Oryctolagus cuniculus: one gene and its partner. The protein of the gene in region 1 purifies or fractionates together with the protein of each later gene. This does not show direct contact. Links are inferred from orthologs where the notes say so. Each region holds a gene or a part of one and is shown in the gene's direction. Other genes may lie near its edges.

Region 1 (4,384 bases):
CTGGACGCGGGGGTGGGCGCTGCAGGCTCCCGCCCCTCCCCGCAGGAAGTCCACCACCACCGGGATTGGAAAAGGAGGCCCCTTTATTGAGCGCGGGGACCCTGGGGCTCGCCCCGGCCCGTTCACAGCACGGTCTAGCTCCGCTCTACATTCAGCCGGTCCAGGACGGCCGGTGCCGCGGGGAGGGGCCTCGCAGGGCGGGGACCCCCAGAGGGCAGCCCCCGCCTCCGCCAGGAACCCCTCCCACGCAGGCTCGGCCGGGCCGGGGTCAGTCCAGCGCGTCCAGCCCGGGCCCGGGCCCGGTGCCCGCCGGCCGCCCGTCGCTGGGCGGGCTGCTGATCTGGAAGCGGGCCTCCGCGGAGATCCCGAACTGCTCCAGGGGGTCCTAGGGCGGCGGGCGGGGAGACGCGGTGACCCGGGGCCCGGGGCCGGGAGCCCCGCCCGCCCGGCCGCCCCGCACGCGCCCCCCGCACCTTGCCCGTCATCTTCTGGATCTCATTCCGGTAGAAGATGAGGCTCCTCCGCATGACCTCGTAGCTGCGGGAGAGGCCGTGCCCGCGGGGTCAGGCCGCCGCCCCCGCCGCGCCCGCCGCGCCCGCCGCCCCCGTCGCGCCCGCCGCGCCCGCCGCGCCCGCCGCCCCCGCCGCCCCCGCCGCCCCGGCCCCACCTGGCCCTGCGCAGCGCCTCCGTCCACTGCCGGCACTGCTCCTCGCTGCCGCACTCGAACACGTACTTCCTCTCCGGGTCCTCCAGGAAGCCTGCGGGAGCGGCCGCTGTGGGTGCCCGCGCCCGCCCCGCGCCCGCGCCGCCCCGCCCGGCCCGCGCACTCACCGATGGAGAAGCTCCGCGCCTCCTCCTGGGCGACCCGGCAGCGCTCCAGCAAGAGGGCTCCGACGGGCTGCGGGCACACGCGCCGTGAGCGGGGCCGCCCCGCGCCCGCGCGCCCCGCGCCGCGCCCCGCCCCCGCGCCCCGCGCCCCGCGCCCACCTCGGCCTCGTCCGTGCGGAAGTAGAAGAGGAAGTTCACCACCAGCTTCACCAGGCGCCGCTTCAGCACTGCGGGCACACAGCGGGCTCAGGGCGGCCGCGCGCCCCCGCGCCCCCGCGCCCCCGCCCGCGCCCGCGCCCGCTCACCGCTGCCCTTCTTGGGGCCCCGCATGCCCAGCTCAGCCGCCATCTCGGCCGGCTGCCGGGACAGCGCCTGCAGCTCCTTCTCGTTGTAGCGCATGGCGCCGGCGCTGCCCGGGACCGGGAACGCGCGCTGCTAGCTCTGAGCCCTCTCGGCCGCCGTCCCCGCTCGCGCCAGAAAGATCCCAGGTCGGAGCCCCGGAAGCGCCATTGCGCCTGCGCGCCACGGGCGAGTCTTGCGCGCTGCGACCGCGGCGTGCTGGGGCGTGGGTACACGCCGGGCAGCCGCGACACAGCCGCGGAATAAAGTGGGTCTGAGGCGCAAGCAGGATCGAAGGACCGCCGAGCGCGGGCGGACGGGGCGTTACCGGTTCCCGCCCCCGCCCCCAAGAGCCGACGCGGGTGCGCGCGCGGAGCGCGTTGTGCGCAGGCGCGCCTCGGGCACGCGCATGCGCACACTCGAGGGCCCGTCCTCCCTCCGGAAGTGCTGCGAGCGCCCGCGCCGCGCGTGCGCACTGCGACGTCGTGGCGGCGGCTCCTGAGGCGGACGGCGGAGGCCTGCGACGCGGGGCGCGACCCACACGAAGTAGGCGCGGGGGCCATCGGGGCCCCGGGGCGCCCAGGGTGGGCTGGGGGCGCGGGAGGGAGGGGCCGGGGCGGGCGGCGGGCCCCACGGCGACCCCGGCCCTCCGGAACTCCGCGGCGGGCGTCGCGGGGGTCGCGGGGGTCTCGCGTCCGTCCGGGGCGGGCTCCGGGGTCCGGGGAGCGGCCGCGGGCCTTCGGCTGCTCGGCGGGGCGGGCCCGGGCCGCGGGGCCGCGCGCGGGGGTGCGTGCCGGCGTTCCCGCCAAAAGCCGCCGGGACCCCCGAGGCCGCCCCCGCTGGCGCCTTTGTCGTCGTGGGGGTCGGTCGCGGGCGCCCGGGGGGCTGCGGGGCGTCCCGGGTGCGGACGGCGATGCGGCTGCGTCTTAGATTTCCCTCCCGCAAGCCTGCGTGCCCGGGGCCGCGTCTTCCCCTCGGTCCGCTGTCCGACTGTCCCTTCGCGTGGTTCCCCCTCCCCCAGCCCTGAGGTCCTGGGTTCGCGTCCCGATGGAGGGGCTGTGGGGCCGCCAGGGCTCGTGCGTGGACCGCGGGCGGGCCCGGGTCGCCCTGGGGTCAGCCGGGGGCGGCTCGTGCGTGGACCGCGGGCGGGCCCGGTAGCGCCCTGGGGTCAGCCGGGCCGCCCGCGCCGTGCCCGGAAGTCGGGGTCGCAGGGGCGGGGTCTCCTCCCGCCGGTCCAGTCCCCGGAGGCCGGGCCGGGCCGGGCCGGGTCAGAGCAGGTGCGGGGCCCGGGCCGGCAGCCAGGACTCGGGCCAGTGCCCGAATGGGGCCCGAGCGGCCCCTGCCGTCCACGGGGAGGCCCAGCCCTGGCTTAGGGGCATTGGGGAGTGGACGGCGGGGGGGCGCCAGGCGGTCGTCCGCGCCCCCGTTCTCCCCGACGCCCGCGGCTGGGCCCGGCGGCTGACACGGGAGAGCCCGCGTGGGTGCGCCCGGGAGGGGCTGGGGGCTGCCTCCTGGGGTCTCCGGCCCCCGCCGCGTCCTGAGGGCCCCCCCCGGTCTGGGCTCCGCAGGCTTCTCCGGCGCTGAGGTCCGCAGGCCGGCACCATGGACTTCCAGCACCGCCCCGGCGGCAAGACCGGGAGTGGGGGCGTGGCCTCCTCCTCCGAGAGCAACCGGGACCGCCGCGAGCGCCTGCGGCAGCTGGCCCTGGAGACCATCGACATCAACAAGGTAGGGCCGCCCGCCCGCCCCCCCGCGGGGCGCCCCCGACGCCCCCGACGCGCCCGACGCCCCCGACGCCCCTGACGCCCCTGACGCCCCGCGCCGCTCTCCCCCAGGACCCCTACTTCATGAAGAACCACCTGGGCTCCTACGAGTGCAAGCTGTGCCTGACCCTGCACAACAACGAGGTACTGGCCGGCCTGGTACCCTGCCCCCGCCCCTGCCTGCCCCCGCCCCGCCCACCGGCCGGCCTGAACCCCTCGCCCCCGCCCCGCCCACCGGCCGGCCTGGCCCCCCCCCTCCACCGGCCGGCCTGATCCCCCCCCTTCCCGCCCTGTCCACTGGCCGGCCTGGTCCCCCGCTCCTGCCTGCCACCGGCCTGGCCCCGCCCCCAGCCGGCCTGATCCCCCCGCCCCCGGCCTGACCCCCGCCTGCCGCTGCCCCACCCCCCGGCCGGCTTGGTCCCCCCCTCCCGCCCTGTCCACTGTTCGGCCTGGTCCTCCCCCACCCCGCCTGCCGCTACCCCGCCCACCGGCCTGGCCCCGCCCCCGGCCTCATGTCCCGCCTCCTCCACGCAGGGCAGCTACCTCGCACACACTCAAGGGAAGAAGCATCAGACCAACTTGTGAGTGCCCCCCGCGCCCCCCGGCTGTGACACGGGGGAGGGCCCCTTGACCCGCCCCCCAGCCGCAGGGCCCCGCCCCTCACCCCCCCCGCGGGAGCCCAAGGCCGGGCAGGGGGGCTCCTGCACCTGCGCCCGTGGCCTTGGCCTGGTGTGGAGGACCACAGCGCCCGTCTGCCCCGCCCCAGGGCCCGGCGCGCAGCCAAGGAGGCCAAGGAGGCGCCCGCCCAGCCCGCGCCCGAGAAGGTCAAGGTGGAGGTGAAGAAGTTCGTGAAGATCGGACGCCCTGGCTACAAAGGTGAGGGGGCGGGGCCGCCCGACACCAGCCCTGGGCGGGGGGGGGGGGGCAGGCGGGGACAGGCGAGGCCCTGGGCAGGGAGGGGCAGGCGGGGACAGGCGAGGCCGTGGGGCTGTGGGCAGGCGGGGTCCTGGGCACGGAGGGGCAGGCGGGGCTGTGGCGTGCAGCCCTGGGCCGGCCCTCTGAGCTGGGACCTGGGCCTCACCTGCCGCCCTGGGCGGGACGTGGGGCTGCGGGGGGGCCCCTCACCGGCCCTGGTGTTGCAGTGACCAAGCAGCGGGACACGGAGATGGGCCAGCAGAGCCTGCTCTTCCAGGTGGGCGGGGCCGCGGGGTCGGGGGGGGGGCCGCGGGGGCGGGGCCGGGTGGGGGCTGCGGGGGCGGGGGGCAGTGGGGGCTGGGGGCCCCTGACACTGCCCGCCCGCAGATCGACTACCCCGAGATCGCCGAGGGCATCACCCCCCGGCACCGCTTCATGTCGGCCTACGAGCAGAGGATCGAGCCCCCGGACCGGCGCTGGCAGTACCTGCTGATGGCCGCCGAGCCCTACGAGACCATCGCCTTCAAGGTAGGGCCCCC
Region 2 (3,638 bases), about 5.8 Mb from region 1:
CCGCGGGCGGCGTCCAGGACCCTGCAGCCGCCGGCCCCCGGGGCCCTGGGCCCCACGACCAGATCCCACCCAACAAGCCGCCGTGGTTTGACCAGCCCCACCCTGTCGCTCCCTGGGGCCAACAGCAGGTATTGCTTGGAACTCGGGCTGGGGGCGGGGGACAGCCTTGGCCTGCGGGGCTGGCAGCCACCCGAGCCGCGGCCCATTCCCGGCGCTCCCCCTGAGCCCCTGGGTGAGGGCTCTGCTTCCCCAGCAAGGGCGCTGCCCCGGGTCCTGAGGTCCCCACCCCGGCACAGTGCGCCAGGCCGTGTGGCACGCTGGGTCCGGTCAGAGACTGGCACTGGGCATGGCCCCCGGGGTGCGACTGCGAGCAGTAGAGACAGGTGTGTGCTGGCCATTCCGCAGCCGTGGGCACAGGGGTGCGGGGTCCAGGCGCACCTGCCCTTGTGCCCTCTGCCAGGGCGGTGAGGGGGCCCGCGTGGGGGCACGGAGGGCCCGGCAGCCAGCTCGCTCACGGCGCCGCCTTGCCTTGCAGCCTCCGGAGCAGCCCCCCTACCCGCACCACCAGGGCGGGCCGCCCCACTGCCCCCCCTGGGGCAACAGCCACGAGGGCATGTGGGGCGAGCAGCGCGGGGACCCCGGCTGGAACGGCCAGCGCGACGCGCCCTGGAGCAACCAGCCCGACCCCAACTGGAACAGCCAGTTCGAGGGCCCCTGGAACAGCCAGCACGAGCAGCCGCCCTGGGCCGGCGGGCAGCGCGAGCCGCCCTTCCGCGTGCAGCGGCCGCCGCCCTTCCGCGGGCCCTTCCCGCCGCACCAGCAGCACCCGCAGTTCAACCAGCCGCCGCACCCGCACAACTTCAACCGCTTCCCGCCGCGCTTCATGCAGGACGACTTCCCGCCGCGCCACCCCTTCGAGCGGCCACCCTACCCGCACCGCTTCGACTACCCGCAGGGGGACTTCCCCGCCGGTGAGGGCTGCATCCCTCCCTGGCCGTGCCCCCCCCCCCCCCCGGGAGCAGCACCCCACAGCGCGGGGTGGGTCACGGGGCAGCGGCTTCCCTCCTAGCCTCCCCTGGGCCCACCCTGCGGGGTCAGGCCCGCAGCCCTGACACGAGTCTGGGTCTTGCAGACATGGGCCCCCCGCACCACCACCCCGGCCACCGCATGCCGCACCCCGCCATCAACGAGCACCCGCCCTGGGCGGGGCCCCAGCACCCCGACTTCGGCCCGCCCCCCCATGGCTTCAATGGGCAGCCCCCCCACATGCGGCGGCAGGGCCCCCCGCACATCAACCACGACGACCCCAGCCTGGTCCCCAACGTGCCCTACTTCGACCTCCCCGCTGGCCTCATGGCGCCGCTCGTGAAGGTGAGGGCGCTGGGCCTCGGGGAGCCCCTGGGGCCGGGCCGGGCCGGGGAGGTGGGGCTGCGGCCGGGCGGAGGGGTCTGGGCGCCAGCGAGGGCTGTGCTCCCCCCCAGCTGGAGGACCACGAGTACAAGCCCCTGGACCCCAAGGACATCCGCCTGCCGCCCCCCATGCCGCCCAGCGAGAGGCTGCTGGCGGCCGTGGAGGCTTTCTACAGCCCGCCCTCACACGACAGGCCCAGGAACAGGTACCGCTGGGGGCCGTGCGCCTGCACCCCCGTCAGGGCGGGACCCCAGGACCCTCCCGAGGGTGACGCTGCGGTGTGGGGAGGCCGTGGGAGCACTCGCTGTAGTGCGGGGCCGCAGCTCACGCGCCGTGCGTCCCTGTCGCAGCGAAGGCTGGGAGCAGAACGGCCTGTACGAGTTCTTCCGGGCCAAGATGCGGGCCCGGCGGCGGAAGGGCCAGGAGAAGAGGAACAGGTGAGGCCAGCGGCGGGCGGGGCGGGGCGGGGCTAGTGCTGGGGGCGGGGCTGGGGCGGAGCGCGCACTCACAGCCTCCCCCCGGGGCAGCGGCCCCTCCAGGTCCCGCAGCAGGTCCAAGAGCCGGGGCCGCTCGTCCTCCCGCTCCCGCTCGCGCTCCTCCAAGTCGTCGGGCTCCTACTCCCGCTCGCGCTCCCGCTCCTGCTCCCGCTCCTACTCGCGCTCCAGGTCCAGGTGAGCGGGCGGCCCTGGCGGGGCGGGGCGGCGGCCCCAGCCCCCTCCGCCCCCTGACCGCCGCTGTGCCCGCAGGAGCCGGAGCCGGTCCCGCTCGTCCAGAAGCCGCTCCCGGTCCCGCTCGCGCTCCCGCTCCAAGTCCTACTCCCCGGGAAGGAGGCGCCGCTCGCGCTCCCGGAGCCCCACGCCACCGTAAGACTCGGCCCGGCCCTGGGACAGGTGGAGGAAGAGGGCCGGAGCCCGCGCCCCTCCCCGCGCCGGCCGCCCGCCCGCTGTCCGCAATAAACGCCTCCGCTCTCCTGACAGTAACCGTCTTCATTGTAGCTCCTCGGCCGGCCTGGGCGCTAACTCGGCGCCCTCCATCCCTGACTCGAGGCTCGGGGAGGAGAACAAGGGACATCAGATGCTCGTGAAGATGGGTGAGGCCCGGGGAGAGGCCGCCCGCGCCACGGCCACGCGCGGCACCGGGGTGGGGCCCGCCCCGCCAGCCCTGCCAGCCCTGCCAGCCCTGCCAGCCCTGCCAGCCCTCCCCGGCTCTGACCGCGCCTGCCCCCCCCAGGCTGGAGCGGCTCCGGCGGCCTGGGCGCGAAGGAGCAGGGCATCCAGGACCCCATCAAAGGGGGCGACGTGCGCGACAAGTGGGACCAGTACAAGGGCGTGGGCGTGGCGCTGGACGACCCCTACGAGAACTACCGGCGCAACAAGAGCTACTCCTTCATCGCCCGCATGAAGGCCCGGGACGAGTGTGAGTGGGCGCGGGGCGGGGCCGGCGGGGGCGGGGGCGGGGCAGGCGGGGGCGGGGCCGCGAGGCCCCCGTGACCTCCCGCCTCCCCCGCAGTCTCCACGTTCGGGGCCCGGAAGGAGGAGAAGGAGGACCTGACGCACGCCTAGGCAGGAGCACGCTCCGAGGGCGTGGGGCCCACACCCCCATGCGGGAATCCTCACCTGCAGGAGGCCCCGGGCGGCGCGGGGTGGCCGGGCTGAGCCGGCGGGGTCTCCACCGTGGCTCCCGTGGCTTTAGCGTTAGAGCGAGCTCTGGCGGATGGCCCCGGGCCTGCGCCCCGGGCCTGGTTTTCCTTTAGTTGGATACTTTGTCCTTTGTGTTTTCCCTGCCATGTGGGCGGCCGCCTGTTCCCGGAGCGGAACGGAGCGGAGAGACCCTGGGGGCGGCCACGCGTTCCGCGCCGTCGACGGCACAGACACGTTCCTGCCAAGTCTCTTCAAGGAGATGCCGTGTCCCTCCGGCCCTGTGCGCGGGCCCGGCCTCTGGTTTGTCCCCACGTCCCGTAGCTGTGACTCGTTCCGACGCGTCCGACCAGGGGACGCGCACACGTGCTGTTCACGACTTCTTGTGGATTTTACTGTTTTGCCTTCAAATAAAGACTTTTTTTAAAGCCCTTTCCTCTGTGTGGGAATCCCAGGTGGGCTCGGCTGCAGTCAGGCGGCGGCGGGTTCTGGGTGCAGGTGCAGGTGGGGCCATGCGGCAGGGGCTCCGCCCTTCAGCCTGCCTCCTCCAGGCTGGCTCTGGGCCTGCTCAGGGCAGAGAGGGCTCCACCG

What was found.
Region 2: the proteins of SF3A2 (region 1) and CHERP purify together in Homo sapiens (affinity purification with mass spectrometry; 3 studies listed by BioGRID, with this or other methods). This does not show direct contact. The link is inferred for Oryctolagus cuniculus from reciprocal best matches to the Homo sapiens genes SF3A2 and CHERP.

Annotation. Positions count from the first base shown.
Region 1 is NC_091447.1:59,110,021-59,114,404, forward strand, and holds the start of SF3A2 (splicing factor 3A subunit 2), read left to right. Parts: upstream 1-1,557; 5' UTR 1,558-1,713; intron 1,714-2,337; exon of another isoform or gene 2,338-2,444; intron 2,445-2,735; 5' UTR 2,736-2,769; coding exon 2,770-2,895; intron 2,896-3,002; coding exon 3,003-3,074; intron 3,075-3,464; coding exon 3,465-3,511; intron 3,512-3,696; coding exon 3,697-3,806; intron 3,807-4,072; coding exon 4,073-4,122; intron 4,123-4,232; coding exon 4,233-4,373; intron 4,374-4,384. Other genes in the region: PLEKHJ1 (pleckstrin homology domain-containing family J member 1), read right to left, coding at 269-385, 474-537, 668-758, 832-898, 988-1,055, 1,134-1,227. UniProt on the Homo sapiens protein: Component of the 17S U2 SnRNP complex of the spliceosome, a large ribonucleoprotein complex that removes introns from transcribed pre-mRNAs.
Region 2 is NC_091447.1:64,910,581-64,914,218, reverse strand, and holds the end of CHERP (calcium homeostasis endoplasmic reticulum protein), read left to right. Parts: coding exon 1-128; intron 129-535; coding exon 536-971; intron 972-1,132; coding exon 1,133-1,371; intron 1,372-1,481; coding exon 1,482-1,615; intron 1,616-1,760; coding exon 1,761-1,847; intron 1,848-1,937; coding exon 1,938-2,081; intron 2,082-2,156; coding exon 2,157-2,273; intron 2,274-2,405; coding exon 2,406-2,500; intron 2,501-2,640; coding exon 2,641-2,826; intron 2,827-2,919; coding exon 2,920-2,972; 3' UTR 2,973-3,479; downstream 3,480-3,638. UniProt on the Homo sapiens protein: Involved in calcium homeostasis, growth and proliferation.